3 linked regions of the Macaca mulatta genome follow. The protein of the gene in region 2 interacts with the protein of the main gene of each other region in a biochemical or structural test. Links are inferred from orthologs where the notes say so. Each region holds a gene or a part of one and is shown on either strand. Other genes may lie near its edges.

Region 1 (3,514 bases), on a different chromosome or scaffold from region 2:
GCTGGGTGTGTGTATCCGCACGTGTGCCTGAGTGCTGGGTGTATGTGTATATGTGTGTGTCTGTGTGTCTGTGTATGTATCTGTGTGCTGGGTGTGTGTGTCTGTGTATGTGTCTGCATGTGTGCCTGAGTGCTGGGTGTATGTGTATATGTGTGTGTCTGTGTATGTATCTGTGTGCTAGGTGTGTGTGTCTGTGTATGTGTCTGCACGTGTGCCTGAGTGCTGGGTGTATGTATACATGTGTGTGTCTGTGTGTATGTGTATATATCTGTGTGGTGGGTGTGTGTGTCTGTGTATGTATCTGCACGTGTGCCTGAGTGCTGGGTGTATGTGTATATGTGTGTGTATGTGTGTGTGTGTATGTATCTGTGTGCTAGGTGTGTCTGTGTATGTGTCTGCATGTGTGCCTGTGTGCTGAGTGTGTGTTGACCTACGGGAATTGCTCCTTGTCCAGAGAGCCTCAGATGAGCCTGTGCTGGGTGACCGGGGGAGAAGGTTTCCCTCCAGCACAGCACCACGTCTCTCCTCCCTTCTGCCACTCACCTCGGAGAACATGGGCAGTTTTTTGGCAAAGTCCACCACACGGGTGATGGCCGGGGTGATGATCTTGGTAAACTCGCTGAAGGCTTCCAGGTCCACCTTGTCTCCGTCCGGCATGGAGACGATGGGTGACTGGCCAATGTCATCGGGCTAGAGAGAAAGACAGGGGTCAGCTGGGGCTGCAGACCCCTTTCAGCCTCTCACTGAGGCTGCCTGCCCACCAGGGGGAGCTCCAAGGCAGCTTGGGGAAGAAGGGCCGCAAGTGCCTGAGTCCCAGCCCCAAAGCTTTTCCTTCACCTTGAGCAGAGGATAGACCAGAGCCAGAGTCAGCTAATAATAACAATGGTAACAACAGTAGTAGCAGCTATAATGACTAAATACTTAATATATGATCAGGCATCAGGCTACATGTTTTACATGTCTTATTTCATCCTGACCGTAATCCTAAAAGGAATAATTATAATAATCACCATTTCACAGATGTGGAAACTAAGGCACGGGGCAGCTAAGTAATAAGGTTAAAGTCATATGACCAGCAAGTGGTAGGACCAGGGTTTGAACTTGGGCAGTCTGACTGCTGACTGTTATACATCTGCTTGGAATCAGAGCCCGTGCCCTTAACAGTGCACTGTGCCACCCTCTGGCATGCTCCACCATGAACCAGGAGCTGGTTTTCTGCCTTCCTTCACCACACAGAGTCAACTGTCCATCTCCTCCCAAACCGACCACTTTTTTTTTGAGAGAGGGTCTTGCTCTGTTGCCTGGGCTGGAGTGCAGTGGTATAATCATGGCTTACTGCAGCCTCGACCTCCTGGGCTTAGGGGACCCTCCTGCCTCAGCCTCCCGAGTACCTGGGACCACAGGCACACACCACCATGCCCAGCTAATTTTAAAATTATCTGTAGAGAGGCTGAGCACAGTAGTTCACACTTGTAATCCCAGCACTTTGGGAGGCCAAGGCAGGCAGATTACCTGAGGTTGGGAGTTCCAGACAAGCCTGACCAACATAGAGAAATACCATCTCTACTAAAAATACAAAATTAGCCAGGCATGGTGGCGCATGCCTGTAATCCCAGCTATTTGGGAAGTTGAGGCAGAAGAATCGCTTGAAGCTGGGAGGTAGAGGTTGCGGCAAACCAAGATTGCGCCACTGCATTTCAGCCTGGGCAACAAGAGCAAAACTCCATCTCAAAAAAAAAAAAAAAAAAATTATTCGTAGAGGCTAGGCATGGTGGCTCACACCTTGTAATCTCAGCACTTTGGGAGGCCAAGGCAGGCAGATCACTTGAGATCAGGAGTTCAAGACCGGCCTGGCCAACATGGTGAAACCCTGTCTCTACTAAAAATACAAAAATTAGCCAGACATGGTGGCGGCTGCCTGTAATCCCAGCTACTCAGGAGACTAAGGTGGCAGAATCGCTGAACCCAGGAAGCAGAGGTTGCGGTGAGCCGAGATCATGCCACTGCACTCTAGCCTGGGTGAGAGTGAGACTCCATACCAAAAAAAAAAAAAATTATTCATAGAGGTGGGATCTCTGTATGTTACCCAGATGAACTCCTGGGCTCAAGCGATCCTCCCACCTTGGTCTCACAAATTGCTGGGATTACAGGCACGAGCCATTGCATCTGGTCCTGAACTAATCATTTACTTAGCCACTAGCTTGACCAGGGCCTAACACAATGCCTGGCACCCAGCAGGCACTCAAAAATACTGTGACATAACTGTATCCTTACCCTCTCCTCCCAGTCACTAGGGGCAGGAAAAAGAAGCAAGGTCACCCTTGCTCCTTGGAAATTCAATGAGGAAGGCAAGGCCCTGTCCTCATGGAGCTCCCAATTGGATGGAGTAGACAGGGTCCAGACAGCAAGGACACAAACGCAAGTGTATAAAATCTGGACAGCAAAAGTGGGAAGAGTATGTATTTTGGGTTGGATTACACTAAGAAGACTTCCTGGAGGAGACAGGACTCTGAGCTCACTCTCCTCTCCCTGCCACCTGGCTGCTGCTCTCCCCATGCCCCCTTTCTCCTTACCAGGAATTTCCGCCTCTGTTTCCAATGGCTGCCCTGGGCATTGGTGCTGCGATGGGCCTCTGTGGCAATGTGGATCAGATCCCACTCTTCAGGAGTGGGTTCTGGTCGCTGCTGCAGTGATCGGATCATCTCCTCCTTCCGCCGCCGCTCCCGGTTCTGCTCAATCAGCTTACGCTTGGCCACCCGCTTCGAGTCATCTAGAACCACTGTCAACAGATAGGCACAAGGTCCGATGCATGGCACCCTCCATCCCCTTTCCATAATGCTCCCGGAAACTATTCTTCCTAGAGTACAGGTTAGGGAAACCGAGGGCCATGGAGGCTAAGTGACTTCCCAAATCACCTAGCAGTTGGGCAGCACAACCTGGATCATGATTAATCCCCGGGACCATGTCAATAACAGTTTGGGCTGATCCAGATGAATATCATGTTCTGGTCTATCGGGTTATGGTGATGGTGGTTACTCCAAGATCCTGCCACCCAATCCCCAGCCAATGGAAAATGCCCTGTCTCATCTAGGAGTGGGGTGCCTTCGCTGGGAGTCAAGAACAATGTGCTAGAGTGGGTGCCCAGGAGCTCTTTCTACCAAACAACTCCTCTAAGGCCCTCGAGTGTTGTAAGGCAGGTAGGCACTGGGGCCCACACAGGGATCCTGTTTCCTTTGACGCAGGAAGAAGGGCAGCAGGAACCAAGACACTGAACCTTCTGCCCTCAGCCTGACCTAGACTGGATTGCCACTCTGCCCTGTGGGCCCTGAGGGCACGCTGGAAGGGAGCTGCCCTCCTGAAACTCATCCCCACCCCAGGCCACCTGGCTCTATTCCCCCCACCCGGGCCCCTTACAGTCCATGGCCATGCCCACGGCGATGCACTTCTTGAAGCGGCACAGCTGGCACTGATTTCGGGTGATCTTGTCAATGACACAGCAGCTGTCATATTTGCA
Region 2 (4,211 bases):
TATGCATTAAAAGTCACATAGGCAGCTCAGTTTATTTAAATATATATTTAATATATGTATATATATGTGTGTGTGTATATATATACACACACACACACGATTGAAACAAAAACACCAGTTGGACAGGAAATTGTGAAAGAAACAAAATCATATATTTGTCCATTCCAAAAGAAGCAGGACTTCAAAAAGAAATGCTACAACCAAACAAACAAAAATAAATACTAATTATTTAGAAAAGCATCTCATAACTAAAGTGAGAAAGAAGAAACCTTTAAAGTGAAAAAAAGCAAAAAGTAAGAAACATTTCCTGTTTTCTCCTATTGGGGGAGATAAGGCAGAACACTCAATTTCTTACTCAGATTTTTATGCTCTGAGGAATTTCAGTCTTATCTCCACCAAGCAGATTAGACAATCATCTTTCAATGTTACCATATATTTCCAAAAGACATACAAGTACATTTTGTCACAATCCGAAAATCTACCCACTTCGGCATTCTGATAAAACTTGTCGGAAGTATGGTGATTTTTTTTAAGCAAACTGATACATTTAATGCCAAGTACATTGTGACATTTAGTTGATAGGACAGTCACTCCATGCTTGGCAGAATGCTTTCATGTAGTGCTTTTACCTGGTTATAAATTATTGGTACTGCTATTTGCAAGTTTAAAGATATGATTTACTAAAGGGAGAAGCAGAAGCATTCCCAAAGCAGGGGTGCCTTTTGAATGGGTAAACGTAAGGTCACCTGCCAGAAAGTGTGCTGGAAAATGAATGCACATATCTAATAAGGAAGTGCTTAAAAAGGGATGAATTCCCTGAGTCATTAAACAGGATACAAACCAAAGACAGGTTGTGCCACCTAGAGAAAAACTGGAAATTGTACATTGGTTCTTCAGTAGTAAGTGTTATTCAAACGCTTGAAACTTTTAGTATGCCCAATAACCAAGCCACCATCCATACCAGCTCACCAAACTGCTGGATTAAACCCCCTTGACAACTCTGCCTTCTCCACACACCAGACTGGCCTCCTCCTGCTTTCCTCGCCCACGTACCCACGCTGCGCCACTTAACCTCAGCACTGGCTGTTTGCCACAGCCCATGCAGCCCCTGCATCCTGAAACCTATCCAATTCTAAAGCACCTTCCTCGAAGCCAGGACAGGACAGGGTAGAAGAAGCAAAGGGATAAACCCTGGTGGACCTTGCCAGCCAGCGTTCCTCTGGATGCTAGCAGAGCCACCGTGCACACACCCCTCTAGCCCCATGGGGCCTGTATGGGAAATTCTGGTGCACTCAGTACATCATATCCAGGTTACCAAGCTGAACTCCCTGGCCAACCTCTGCACAATCCAAACACCATGAAATGACCTCAACAGAACCAAACCTTTAAGGTGCAAAAGGCTCTTCAACTTTCCTCTCCGCAAGTCACTTAAAAGCAAAGTGTACAGCACACTTGTCAAGCTGAAGCACAAAAGGTCTGCAAGGCACCAGGCACAGAGAGCCGCCTTTTGCAAAGAAAATAGACAGTAATTACGAAAAGCCCGCAGTCCTGCGGTATTAAACTGACAGAGGGGACTGCGCTGGGGCATAACTCATCTCCAAGCAGTCACTCCCAGCCCCAGACCCTGAGCGAGGGGACAACCTTTTCCCTCTTCTCTCCCCCTCCACAGACCTGCGGCAGCGCCCCCCTTGCCTCCCCCACGCTTTTCCTTCTCCTCCTCCTCCTTCTTTATGAATCTCCAGCAACTTTGGGTTGACAATGCCGTCGCAGCCCAGCCAGAGTCGGGGACAGCGCGAGGGTGGCCGCAGGAGGTGGAGGAAAGTTTGAAAAGTCACTTAAAGCACTGCAGGAACCCCCCTCCCTGTCCACCATCACCCCCAAGCACCCACCCCACAGACGGCGGCTCGGAGCTCCACGTGCGAGCGGGCCCTGCAGAAGCTGGAGTTTCCCCTACATCCTCGCCAGAAAAAAATCTTTCCCCAAGCGAAAAGTTCCCTGCTGCAGCACCACCCCTCTCCCCCTGCCCCTCCAGCCCGCCCCAACCCACCCCCCCCACCAAAAAAAACAAACAAACCAACAAAAAAAAGAATCAGAGTTCGCAAGACGCCACCTGGATTCGCCCGCGGGCCCTGAAGGAGCGGCGCCCCTCCCCCGTTGGCGGGTGGACGGGTCGGGAGGGAGCCGGGGAGAGGGAGGCACCGGGCGGCCCCAGCCCGGACCCCTTCCCTCCCTCCCCGGCCCCGCCGCCTAGCTCACCTCTCTCCTGCTCCTCTGCCTGCAAGCAGATGGGGATATTCTTCTTCCAGCCGGGCATGGTGTCGCTCCCTGCGCTCGCTCTTGGGCTCGCTCTCTCTCGCTGGCTCCCTTTCTCCGGGGCTCGCCGCGCCTCCTCGCTCGTCCTCTTGGGTAGCCGCGCCGGGGCTGTTCAGCGGAGCTGGGGCGCCGAGGCGGCTCCCGGGCACATCGAGGCGGCGCCGTGCGCCCAGCGCTCCCCTCAAACTCGCCGGCGGCTCCGGGCGGCGGCGGCGGCGGCGGCGGCCGGGCCGGGCCGGGCCCCGCCGGGCAGGTCTGGGGGCTGCAGCGGCGGCTGCCGCTGTGTGGCCGGGAGGTTGGGCCGGGCCGGGGGCGGAGGGCCGGTGCAGGCCGAGAGCTGGGGGCTGCGGAGCCCCCGGGAGTGGGCGCCGGCGAGAGGAGTGGGCTGGCGCCGCCGCCTCTTTCCCCTCCTCCTCCTTCTTCCCCTTCCTTGTCTCTCCGCCGCCAGCAGGTGGGACTCGGAGCCGCCGCCGCACAAAGCTCCTCCGGCAGCAGGACTGAGGTTGCGGGCTCCCTGGGCGCCTCTCGGCGGAGCCTCCCCCGAGACGCGCGCGAGGCTGAGCGGGCACGGAGGGGGCGCGCGCGCTCACACCCTCCGCGCCCCAGGCGGCCTGCGAGGCGCGCCCGGCCTGCCAGGTACCGAGCCTGGCACCGAGCCGCTGTTGCGGAGCCCACGCCGCTCCACCGCGGCCGCCACTCCCTCCCCGCCTTCCTCCCAGAGCCCAAACTGGCGGCTCCTCTGGCTTAGGCGACGACCTCGATGGAGTAAGGGGCAGTGTCCTTCCCTCTAGTCCCTCCTCCGCGCCGCTCTCCCTACGCCCTGGCTGTCGCCCCCTCCCCCAAGTTGAGACTTGCAGCTACGGATTTGCTAACTTCGCCCTCAACTGAGGGAAATAGCAACTTTTGGGATGGTCAGCGCTGGTCCCAGGAATACGTTTCCTGGCAGTGTGGGAAGAGCGTGAATGGAGACTCTCTTTTGTTTTAAATGATGCAGGGAGACCTTGGCTGAGTGAATATGTAATCGCTGTCTTCAAGCATAGGAAGGGTTTTATGATCAGGTTTTATGATTAGTTTCTTCCCCTTGTCATAGGTTCATAGAAAATCGGTGGAAAAATGAGTCAGGTGGGAGGGAGCCAGCTTTGTGATACAGCCTGGAAGATTCTGCCCAGACATGGGGCTCTTGCTTGTGCTTTCAAAACGGTAATGCTAGGAGGGGTTCCTGACAGTGTTCCAGGTGTCACTCGGTGACTGTCCTGTGGAGTATGACATCTGCCTCTGCCTCAAGCCTGGGGGCTGGCTAGAAAATACCTGTCTCTCCCTCCAGAGTATCTGATGTGGACCGAAGAATTTAGGGCCCCTGGGGCTGAACTACTGGTTTGTGGTTGTTGGGGCCCAACCACTGCACTGCTATGAATGACTCGGTGTCCTGCAGTTTATTTTGGCCTCTGAAGGAACTGCAGTTTGCTCTCCCGAATTGAGGACATTGGCTCACACTGGCCTTCTCTCCCTCTCCTCTTGGAAACATAGTAATACTGCCAGAGAAATGCATTAACTAGAAAAGGCTGAAAGAATCTTCTTTTCCTCTGCCACTGCATAAGCGGTCTTATCGGGTGAGGACGTTTGCCTCTGCTGCTGGCCTGGGTGGCTGTCTGTCATTACAGAACTGCCCAGCTGCCAAAGCAAATGGCTCTCTCTCCTAAGCAATGGAGAGACTCGGGTCCAGAAGCTTCAAGGATAGAGGAACTGAAGGGCTAAATGAAGGGCAGAGTCAAACCATCCCAGGGGGTTATCAGTAGAAATCCCGTCTGAGCTGTTCAAATCTTCTTTCCAGACTCTTTGAAAAGTAAAATCCAGAAAATCAATATGAACATCACACCTGTCGCCTTTAAATGGCCCAC
Region 3 (3,514 bases), on a different chromosome or scaffold from region 2:
GGAGATCGAGACCATCCTGGCTCACACGGTGAAACCCCGTCTCCACTAAAAAAATACAAAAAAAAAAACTAGCCGGGCGAGGTGGCGGATGCCTGTAGTCCCAGCTACTCGGGAGGCTGAGGCAGGAGAATGGCGTAAACCCGGGAGGCGGAGCTTGCAGTGAGCTGAGAGAGATCCGGCAACAGCACTCCAGCCTAGGTGACAGAGTAAGACTCCGTCTCAAAAAAAAAAAAATTGTTGTTTTATTTTTATTTTTATTTTTATTTTTTTGAGATGGAGTCTTGCTCTGTTGCCCAGGCTGCAGTGCAGTGGCGTGATCTTCGCTCACTGCAAGCTCCACCTCTTGGGTTCATGCCATTCTCCTGCCTCAGCCTTCTGAGTAACTGGGACTACAGGTGCCTGCCACCATGCCTGGCTAATTTTTTGTTTGTTTTTGCTTTTTTGTTTGTTTGTTTTGAGACAGAGTCTCGCTTTGTCACCCAGACTGGAGTGCAGTGGCGTGCTCTCGGCTCACTGCAAGCTCCGCCTCCCAGGTTCAAGTGATTCTCCTGCCTCAGCCTCCCGAGTAGCTGGGACTACAGGCACCCGCACCACACCCAGCTAATTTTTTGTATTTTTAGTAGAGACAGGGTTTCACCATGTTAGCCAGGATGGTCTCGATCTCGTGATCCGCCTGCCTTGACCTCCCAAAGTGCTGGGATTACAGGCATAAGCCACCGTGCCCAGCCAATTTTATTTTATTTTATTTTATTTTATTTTTTTTTTGTATTTTTAGTAGAGACAGGATTTCACCGTGTTAGCCAGGATGATCTCAATCTCCTGACCTTGTGATCCACCCACCTTGGCCTCCCAAAGTGCTGGGATTACAGGTGTGAGCCACCGTGCCCAACCTTTTTTTTTTTTTTTTTTTGAGACAGGGTCTTATTCTTGTCACCCAGTCCAGAGTGCAGTGTTGCCATCTCCGCTCGCTGCAGTGTCAACTTCCTGGGCTCAGGTGATTCTCCCACCTCAGCCTCCCAAGTAGTTGGGACTATAGGCACACGCCACTACACCTGACTTAATATGTATATATTTTTAGTAGAGACAGGATTTCACCATGTTGCCCAGGCTGGTCTTAAACTCCTGGGTTCTAGTGATCTGCCCGCCTCCCACAATGCTGGGATTACAGGTGTTAGCCACCAGGCCTGACCCTAAAAGAGTTTTTTTATATATTCTGGACACTAAATACTTAGCAATAGATGATTTGCAAATAGTTCTCCTAAGAGTTTTCTAGTTTTAGCTCTTATGTTTAGGTCATTGCTCCATTTGAGTTCTGTTTTATTTGTCTATGGTGTGAGGTAGGAGTTTAACTTCATTCTTTTCTCTGTGGTTATCCAGTTTTCTTAGCAGTGTTTATTGAAGGCACTATTCTTTCCCCATTGAATGTTCTTGGAATCTTTGTCAAAAATCAATTGAGGATAAGTGTAAGGGTTTATTTCTGGACTCTGATTCTGTTCCATTGATCTGTGTCTCCATTCTTTTGCCAGTACCACTACACTGTTTACATTACTGTACCTTCATAGTAAAATTTGAAATTGAGACATGGGAATCCTCCAGCTTCATTCTTTTTCAAGATTGTTTTGGCTATTCAGGGTGATTGGGAACACTTTTGCCACATTTGCACTCACGTTGTTGTTGTGATGGGCTATTGAAAAGCAAGCTGCTGATGTCATGGGAATTTGCCATAAATCCTTCCACATATGTTTTCTAAGAACAAAGGCATTTCTCTACAAAACCGCAATGCCATTGTCACATCCAAGTAACTTAAAATTATGGCATATGTATTCCACACTCACATTTTCCTAGTTGTCTTTTTTTTTTTTTTTTTTTTTTAAGTAGGATCTCACTTCTGTTGCCTAGACTAGATAGAGTACCATGGCATCATCATAGCTCACTGCAGCCTCAACCTCCTGGGCTCAAGCAATCCTCCCACCTCAGCCTCCCAAGTAGCTGGGACCACAGGTGGGGGCTACTCTGTCCGGCTCCCCAGTTGTCCTTTATTTATTTTTTTGAGACAGGGTCTTGCTCTGTCACCCAGGCTGGAATGCAGTGGCACAGTCATGGCTCATTGCAGTCTCAACCTCCCAGGCTCAAGTGATCCTTCCATCTCGGCCTCCTGAGTCCCTAAGACAACAGGCACACGCCACCACGCTTGCCTAATTTTAAAATTTTTTTGTAGACAGGGTCTTGCTATGCTGCCCAGTCTGATCTCCAACTCCTGGGTTCAAGTGATCCTCCTGCCTTGGCCTCCCAAAGTGCTGGGATTAGAGGTGTGGGTCCGGTCTCCCCAGTTGTCCTTTATAACTTTTTAAAACATTTTTCTTGCGGCTTCAGCCCAGGGTCCCACTTTGCATCGCATTGGGCACTCCCCCCTTTCTTGTCTCCTGTACTCTGGAATAGCTCCCACCGTTTTGGTCTTTCCTGACACTGGCCTGTTTGAGGAGACCAGCCTGGTTGTCCTGTAGCCTGCCCAACAACCTGTCGTTTTCTGTTGTCCCTTGAAGATGGGACTAGGTCAAACATTTTTGCCAAGAATACTACAGATGATGCACCTGTCCCACTGTAGTGTGGCAGGCAGGGGCACAGTGCCTGATTGGGCCGGCCCGTTCCTGGCATCGCTAAGTTTCACCATTTGGCTGGAGTGGAGTGACCACAGGTTTGTGGAATGAATGACTAGTAACAGCTATCATGATGGGTACAGGGAGACAGTGTCATGATTCACTAGACAACTGCCCTGCCATTAGCCCCATCTGACGGTGAGAACCCGAGTTCCAGAGAGGCTGAGGGACCTGCCTGTGTCACAGTGAACAAATGGCATGGGTGGGGTGTGAACCCGGTGGTCTGGCTACACTGGCCCCATGCAGTCACTGCACTGCACCCATCCAAGAACAGAAGGGCTCAGCCGAGTGGAGCAGAGGCAGCTCCAGCTCTGAGGCCCTGTGGGTTGGCACCGTGCCTGGTGGCCCTGTCTGCCCACCTCAGCGTTCACCGTCTCCCTGTCTCAGCCCTGGTCATCCTGAGGACACAGACTGTATCCCTGCTGTCTGATCAGCCGCTCCCTTGTCCTCAGTGTGGGCTGGGCAGGCAGCGCACCCGGCATTGCTGCCAGGGTGGTTTTGTGGCACTCTGGAAGAATCTGGGGGCACCAACGGCAGGCAGCAGGAGGGCGTCAGGGACCCGGGATCAAAAGAAGGCAGCCGACAGGGCTGTACTGCTCACGCCAGCCTATCTTCTCTCATAGATGAAGATGTGTGTGTCTTTAAGTGCTCGGTGTCCCGAGAGACAGAGTGTAGCCGCGTGGGCAAGCAGTCCTTCATCATCACCCTGGGCTGCAACAGCGTCCTCATCCAGTTCGCCACACCCAACGGTACGTGCCCCTGCTTCCACTCCAGTGACACCAGCCCAGAGCGCCCAGAGCCCTGGTGGGCAGGGGCATGGAGCCTGGCTAAGGAGCGGCCCATGCATCGTTGAGAAT

Evidence for each region. The genes of interacting proteins can lie anywhere in the genome.
Region 1: the proteins of GRIP1 (region 2) and THRA form a complex in vitro, tested with the Homo sapiens proteins (2 studies listed by BioGRID). The link is inferred for Macaca mulatta from reciprocal best matches to the Homo sapiens genes GRIP1 and THRA.
Region 3: the proteins of GRIP1 (region 2) and CARM1 form a complex in vitro, tested with the Homo sapiens proteins (2 studies listed by BioGRID). The link is inferred for Macaca mulatta from reciprocal best matches to the Homo sapiens genes GRIP1 and CARM1.

The regions. Positions count from the first base shown.
Region 1 is NC_133421.1:64,442,615-64,446,128, reverse strand, and holds part of THRA (thyroid hormone receptor alpha), read right to left. Parts: coding exon 3,415-3,514; intron 2,780-3,414; coding exon 2,574-2,779; intron 691-2,573; coding exon 544-690; intron 1-543.
Region 2 is NC_133416.1:74,200,301-74,204,511, forward strand, and holds the start of GRIP1 (glutamate receptor-interacting protein 1), read right to left. Parts: upstream 2,813-4,211; 5' UTR 2,315-2,812; coding exon 2,257-2,314; intron 1-2,256. UniProt on the Homo sapiens protein: May play a role as a localized scaffold for the assembly of a multiprotein signaling complex and as mediator of the trafficking of its binding partners at specific subcellular location in neurons.
Region 3 is NC_133424.1:11,639,871-11,643,384, forward strand, and holds part of CARM1 (histone-arginine methyltransferase CARM1), read left to right. Parts: intron 1-3,280; coding exon 3,281-3,406; intron 3,407-3,514. UniProt on the Homo sapiens protein: Methylates (mono- and asymmetric dimethylation) the guanidino nitrogens of arginyl residues in several proteins involved in DNA packaging, transcription regulation, pre-mRNA splicing, and mRNA stability.